Linked DNA regions of Saccharomyces cerevisiae S288C. The protein of the gene in region 1 purifies or fractionates together with the protein of each later gene. This does not show direct contact. Each region holds a gene or a part of one and is shown on either strand. Other genes may lie near its edges.

Evidence for each region. The genes of interacting proteins can lie anywhere in the genome.
Region 2: the proteins of HGH1 (region 1) and CCT7 purify together in Saccharomyces cerevisiae (affinity purification with mass spectrometry, with the first as the bait; 2 studies listed by BioGRID). This does not show direct contact.

What each region holds. Positions count from the first base shown.
Region 1 is NC_001139.9:869,671-873,347, reverse strand, and holds HGH1 (Hgh1p), read left to right. Parts: upstream 1-1,931; coding exon 1,932-3,116; downstream 3,117-3,677. Other genes in the region: protein kinase BUB1, read left to right, coding at 1-1,304; transcription factor IIF subunit TFG1, read right to left, coding at 3,367-3,677.
Region 2 is NC_001142.9:206,005-210,090, reverse strand, and holds CCT7 (chaperonin-containing T-complex subunit CCT7), read right to left. Parts: upstream 2,215-4,086; coding exon 562-2,214; downstream 1-561. Other genes in the region: GZF3 (Gzf3p), read left to right, coding at 1-169; MDV1 (Mdv1p), read right to left, coding at 2,642-4,086. UniProt on the Saccharomyces cerevisiae protein: Molecular chaperone; assists the folding of proteins upon ATP hydrolysis. Known to play a role, in vitro, in the folding of actin and tubulin. In yeast may play a role in mitotic spindle formation.

The DNA.
Region 1 (3,677 bases):
TAACAAGCACAACCATTCAAAGTTCTCCATTTCTCACACAACCTGAACCACAAGCAGAAAAGCTTTTACAAACTGCAGAACATTCGGAAAAGAGTAAAGAGCATTACCCAACGATCATACCTCCCTTCACTAAAATAAAAAATCAACCGCCTGTCATTATTGAAAACCCACTTAGTAATAATTTAAGAGCGAAGTTTTTATCCGAAATTTCGCCCCCATTATTCCAATATAACACCTTTTATAACTACAACCAAGAATTGAAAATGAGTTCTCTATTGAAAAAAATCCATAGGGTATCCCGCAACGAAAACAAGAACCCAATTGTTGACTTCAAGAAGACGGGTGATTTATATTGTATACGCGGAGAATTAGGCGAAGGAGGTTATGCCACTGTATATCTAGCAGAATCTAGTCAAGGACATCTGCGAGCGTTGAAAGTAGAAAAACCTGCAAGTGTATGGGAATATTACATAATGAGCCAAGTGGAGTTTAGGTTGAGGAAGAGCACAATATTAAAGTCAATAATCAACGCTAGTGCTTTACACTTGTTCCTTGATGAGAGCTACCTTGTTTTAAACTACGCCAGTCAAGGTACGGTCTTGGATTTAATTAATTTACAACGGGAAAAGGCAATTGACGGCAACGGAATAATGGATGAATATTTGTGCATGTTTATCACTGTCGAGCTAATGAAAGTACTTGAAAAGATACATGAAGTGGGAATAATACATGGCGATTTGAAACCAGATAACTGCATGATCAGATTAGAAAAACCAGGCGAACCCCTGGGTGCTCATTATATGCGCAATGGAGAGGATGGCTGGGAAAACAAGGGAATCTATTTAATAGATTTCGGTAGATCATTTGATATGACACTGTTACCACCTGGAACGAAATTCAAATCAAATTGGAAGGCTGATCAGCAAGATTGCTGGGAAATGCGTGCGGGCAAGCCATGGAGTTATGAAGCGGATTATTATGGATTAGCAGGCGTCATACATTCGATGCTTTTTGGAAAATTCATAGAAACAATCCAGCTGCAGAATGGACGATGCAAATTGAAGAACCCATTCAAAAGGTATTGGAAAAAAGAAATATGGGGCGTTATATTTGATTTACTGTTAAATAGCGGTCAAGCTTCCAATCAAGCTTTGCCGATGACTGAAAAGATTGTTGAAATAAGGAATTTGATAGAAAGCCATCTGGAACAGCACGCAGAAAATCACTTAAGAAACGTAATTCTAAGCATTGAAGAGGAGTTATCACATTTTCAATATAAGGGGAAACCGTCAAGGAGATTTTAGTGAATAAATATGCCTTCATCTCCCGCATAGGTGACTTTTTGGTGTCCTGCCAGATTCCATAGCAATGACAACACAACTTCAGGTAGAGCCAATTGTAACATTAATATATAAAAGGTAATATAAAACTAGCAGGTTCTCAGGTTGAGTAAATATATTCTTTTTTAATCTTGACATCTGTCACTTATGGAAAAACAAGTACCAAAAAAATGGCGATAATGTTATGATATTATTTTACTGAAGCTCTTCATACATCGAGTATGTAGCAATTGCTCCACTTGTTACCGCGAAAACTAACAAGAATAAAAAATAGATGTCTTGATTCGCAATTCGCAGTATATTTCATCTAATAGCTGCAGAGCCAATTGGGATGTTACTGGTAGTGCTACCTTTCGATGTGTTCTGTTATCACCCCAGACGATAATTATTATTGTAGATTTTTCCCTATTCTTCCTCGAAGGGCTTTTTCAAATTTTTTTTTTTTTCATTTTTTCATATTGAGCTCTCTCATCTCATCCATCAATTTATGACGCACCTACTCTAATAACGACAAGTTTATTCTTCTTAAAACGGTATCAATTTAATTTAAAAATTAAAAATAGCTCAAAAAAATCAACAAAAAATTGAGTGATGACTTCACAATTGAATGAATTAGTGGAATTTCTGCATTCACCACAACCTGCCGTAAGACAGATTGCCATTGATAATCTAGTTGGATTTAGTGCTGGTCCCACTTCAAAAGTTTTCAAAAATGATAGCTACAGACCCATTAAGGATATAATAAAAATGATCATGGATCCAGAACACGGCACCCGTGTTATTATTCAGCAAGGTGTCACTATATTGGTCAATTTATCTGAAGACAAGTTAGTAAGAAATATTATATTGAGCGATGACAAGAAGTTCTTAAAATTTTTGGTTTGGAAAATTGTCGATTTAACCAATCCAAATGCCGATATAATGTGTATCTTATTAAGCAACTTAGCCAAGGATGACGGCATTCTTGCTGTTCTGAATATCAAAAGGAATTCAAGCGGTGAGGAGGTCGATGATGGTTTGAAGTTAGCAGCTTTAAATAAAGAAGTTTTCAAAAGTTTGAGAGCCATGGATTGTTTAATGGATTGCTTTGTTAAGGGTTATGATAAAAAATTAACAAAATATGCCAGTTTCAATTATTTAGCCTTTTTTTTTGCGGATATCTCGAGGTTTAAATTGGGCAGGATGTATTTTATTGAAGAGCAGGAATACGATGGGGTTGTTCCTATTTCAAAATTGCTAGTATTTACCGAAAAATATGATGCAAAGGTAAGAAGAGAAGGTGTCGCTTCCACAATTAAAAATTCCCTATTTGATTCTGAAACTCATGAAAGGTTACTCAAAGATGAAAAAATAAACTTGTTGCCTTACATCCTGCTACCTATTGCTAGTGCTAAAGATTCTGAAATTGATGAGGAAGATATGTTCAATTTACCAGATGAACTTCAATTATTACCAGAGGACAAGGAAAGAGACCCGATTCCTGCAATTATATGCTGTCATTTAGAAAGTATTCTTTTGCTATGTACAACGCATGCTGGAAGAGAATACTTAAGAGACAAGTCCGTTTATCCACTAGTGAGGGAGCTGCATAAAAACGTTGAGAATGAAGATATTGGTGAATTATGTTACAGAATTGTTAATATGTTAATGAGAGGCGAGCCAGGTGCGGGAGCAGTGGAAGAGATGCCATCAAAGAATGCGGAAGAGGAAGAAGAGGAGGAGAGTGAAGAAGAAGAAGATGACGACGAAGAAGATGAAATTGTCGAAGTGGCCTAGGTCACTTTCAAGGACAGTTCACATAGCATAGAATTGTATAATACAGAAATAACAATATATTAGAGTTTAGTAGAATTCTGAGTCTTTTCTCAAAAAAAAGGCAGAAAAAAAGACTAGATAAAAAAGTATACTTACTGCAACTAAAATGACAGTATAATGTAACTACATAAGATTAAATGGAAAGAAAAAGGAAAGAATGAAAAGAACGAAAACTAAATAACCTATTAAGTACATAACATTATAAACTAACCTACTCTTTCTTTAATTCCATGTGGTCATTGCCAACCTTTCGACACAATTTTTTTACAATGGCAAACATTAGCTTTTTATTCTCTGCGCCAGGATATTTTCTTCTGATGAACTTTCCAAACTCTTTGATATTGACTTTGCCATCACCAATAGCCTCGATGATATCTTTTTCTGTTATTGTAGGCGCTGGAGTTTCTTCCCTTTCTGCCACTGTAGAATTCAAGCCTTCCTCTTGTTTGATTGGCGAAGGCACTGTATTCGATGCATTATTACTACTATCTACAGCTTTTGTCGTCTGTGGATTCCATTCTC
Region 2 (4,086 bases), on another chromosome or scaffold:
TAAATTGCACAAAGAAGAAGAAATTATAAAGCTCAAAACTAGAATAAATGAGTTAGAACTTGTTACAGATTTATATAGGAGACATATCAATGAATTAGACGGGAAATGTCGAGCTCTTGAGGAACGTTTGCAAAGGACAGTAAAACAAGAAGGGAATAAAGGAGGATAGATCTTTTTTTCAAAAAAATCAGCATCATTTTTCAAATATAATATCATCATATGTATGCATATATAAATACATAGTAGCATAATCAGTTGCAAAACAGGGTTCTAATCGAATATTACGTACATTTTGCCGAAGAAATGGAATGCAGCTGCATGACATCCAACCCGGATGACGACCAATGATATGATTTGTTTCTCGGAGTTTTCATTACTTCTTTCATTTTTCTTTAGACCTAGAATTACTTTAAGATACAGAGTATACAAAAGAAAAGAATAAGGTTTTATCAATACAGTATTAACTTATTTATGATTGAAAGAAATTACCTTTGATGCAAATAACTACTGCAAAAAGAGTAATAATAAAATGTATGCAGCACATGTTTTTTAGAGTGTTAATTACATTGGCATACCTCTCCCTCTTCCAGCCCCTTGGGGAGGCATCATGCCAGCATTGGCACTTTCACTACCTTTATTAGTGATCGTCTCGTCAACAGATAAAATCAAGTTAGTAGCCTCTGTGGCACTGTTCAAAGCATTGATTTTTACTAAAGCAGGTTCCCATACGAATTTGGCAAAATTATCGCCAATATTTTCTGTTTCAAAGACAACACCATACCATTTCTCACCTTTGCTGTGAGCCAATCTTAGTTTGTTTAATATTTCTATAGCATCAAACCCAGCATTTTCACAGAGTTGCCTTGGAATAACTTCTAAAGCCTTAGCGAAGGCATTGATTATCATTTGTTGCTTACCAGCTATGGTTTTTGAATAATCTCTCAAGCATTTTGATACTTCCATTTCTGTAGCACCACCACCAGCAACGATCAGTTTATTTTGTAACGCTCTCTTAACTATCATGATTGCATCGTGCAATGATCTCTCAACCTCGGCAATAACTTGCTCAGCACCTCCTCTTAATAATAATGTACATGTTTTAGCTTGTGGGCAACCTTGGAATAAATTGTAGCGTTCTGACCCGATTTGCATTTCCTCAAACAAAGCACAAGTACCCAAATGCTCTGGTTTTATATCTGAAGTAGTAGATTGTATAGAGCCTCCAACAGCTTGGATGACACGATTCATATCATCTGCGCTCACTCTACCAGCGCAGAAAATATTTCTATCAGCAAAAAATTGAGTAGCCAAATCGCCGATAGGTAACTTTGATAGTACAATATTGGCACCTGTTTCTTCCACTTGTCTTAGCTTTTCAAAGATTAATTGCCACTCCGCATCTACAATAGCTTGGTAATCTTCAACATGTTCTACACGTACTTCAGCATTGTCTTTCTCTGCTTTCAACTCCAGTTCTACATTCAAACTTAAAATTTTAGGATTGTTGAACTTTTTGGGTTGCTGTTCAAATCCAGCATACGAAAATGTCTTCTTAAAGGCGACACCGTTGATGAAAAGAGATTCTTCCATAGCACCACCTGGAATTTTTTTAATACCTATTAATTTGTCATCCAAATCGTTTCTATCAAGGGATAGCACGGCGTCAACACACATTTTAACAAAAAAATCTGCATTATTATGAATCAATTTCGACGACATTGCAGTTCTAGCACAGCGTTCAAGTAATTCTCTGCCACTGCTTTTCTCTGAAGTAATATCCACAGCTAATTCGTTAATCTTCTCCACAGCTAAAGAAACGGCCTTTCTGTAGCCCTTCATAATCAAATGAGATGAAATGCCTTCTTCCAAAAAGGGCTTGGCTTCTTTCATTAACTCACCAGCTAAAATGGTTACACTAGTTGTACCATCACCCACCTCGGCATCCTGAGCTCTAGAAATATCCACTAAAGTTTTGGCAGCAGGATGTACTACATCTAATAATTTTAGGATCGTGGCACCATCGTTAGAAATAGTAGTCTTTTGATTCGATGTCACAATTAAAATATCAGAACCTAAGGGACCTAAAGTTGGTTTCAATGCCTCTTGGACTGCAACACAGGCATTGATATTAGAGATGATTTGACCTTTACCTTGAGATGCGTCTGTTCCCTCTTTTAGAACCACAATTGTAGGTGTTTGGCTTCCAAAGTTCATTTTTCCGAGTTGTATGTCTCGTGATTCAGGTACTACTTAATATTTGCGGCTAATTCTCTGTATTTGAAATCATTTCGACAATTTGGCATCTGCTAACGCTTAATAACAATTATTCATTTTTTTTTTTTTCAATAGCAAGGATGAAAAAGTCGCCACTTAAATATTAATCATTATTCACGAAAGTTTTCTTTTTCCGGGTAAGGATAATGCAGGTATGGTGATTGCTTCCAAGACATCTGTAGTAATATGACAGGGCAACATCTACAGCACCGATTTCGCTGATAAACCATCCAAGGTATTGACGATACTTTATTTACATTCCAGAACGAATATTTATTTATATATATCTGAGCGAGCAGCTATTCACATATGCACTCGATATTTATTTTTCTTCAAATGGGTTGACTTGATTGCAATGCAATGCCTATCATACGGCCCAAATATTTACGTCCCCATTTTCACGACCCTCAACCATGTAATTTTCTTTATACTTAACGGTACTAACGCTAGTCTCGTTACCTTGTTCGACGCAAGACCAGCTTTCATCCTTTTCGCTATCGTATATCTGGACACTTGGTTCGTCTGCGACAACGACTGCAGCGTTCTCTTGGAAGAGATCTAACGAAAGAACTGGCGCACTGTACGCATGAAACTTATTCAACAACCCAGTTCTTAAGTCCCAGATTCTAACTGTTCTGTCGTATGAACCTGTGACCAGGCACGCGGAATCAAATTTTAATGACGTTATGGCATCTGTATGCCCTTTCAAAGTACGAATCACCTTTCCGGATCTTAAATCCCATAGCCTTACAACACCATCTTTTGTACCCGTTGCTAGCGCTGCATCAAAACTTTGTAGTGCACCTATACTAGGCCTCTCATTTCTTTGAGTAAGAAGTGTGCTCTTTGATAAATCGACATTAGTGGATGTTGTTAAGACATTTGCAAAGCTCAGATCAATGGTTTGCAAGCACTTCCCGGAACGTAAGTCCCATTGCCTAATTGTTCTATCCTGTGAACCACTCACCAAGAAACTAGGATCTAATGATAATGCAGTAACCTCATCTGTATGCGCCTCAAATGTATGAACACATGGAGAATCAATATGATTTGTAGGAGAGGTAAGATTTTGCGTTTCCTGGTAAAGTTGTTGAGCTAAATTCAAATTCCATAATTTTAAAGCCGCATCTCTACCACCAGTAACAAGAGTTCCGTAGTCACGATTGATTTGCATACAATTAATTGTAGCAAGATGTCCTGCTAGTTCTCCAATTTTGTTTTGTTTGGATAAATCCCAAATTTTTACCGTGTGATCAAGATATCCGGCTGTACATAAGGTACCAAAGGGCGCATCAAAATCTAGGCAAGTGAGGAAATCATCGTGAGTGGACATTATAGAGCCAATTTTTGTTCCTGGCTCGTAAAGCTGCTGGAATGTTGGGAAGCTTTTTCTGTGTCTTTTTTTGGATTTGCTATAAAAGGCACCTAATCTATTCAATGAGTTATCGTCTCGAAGTTGTTGCCTTCTCCTTGGAGGTAGATTAGAAGCCTCTGATGATATGCTCTCTGTGGTGACACCCTCATTTCTTATAGCATCATTTTTAAGGGCCTTTCGCTCACTCATACCATCATCTTCTGCATTTTCGTCGCTATTAGCTTCGATCACCTCCAATCCGTACTCTTCTAAAAAGTCCAACCTATCATCAATCTGTTTGAGGTTGTCTTCCAATAGTAATTGATTTTGCTCTATGTTCGCAATTTTACCCAACAGTTTCTCTTTCTTTTGTCTCAGATTCTCAACTTCAACTTCAATGTCTCTTATTTCGGATAACGTAGAATTTTTCTGAATATTTAAAAACTCTAAACTATTTA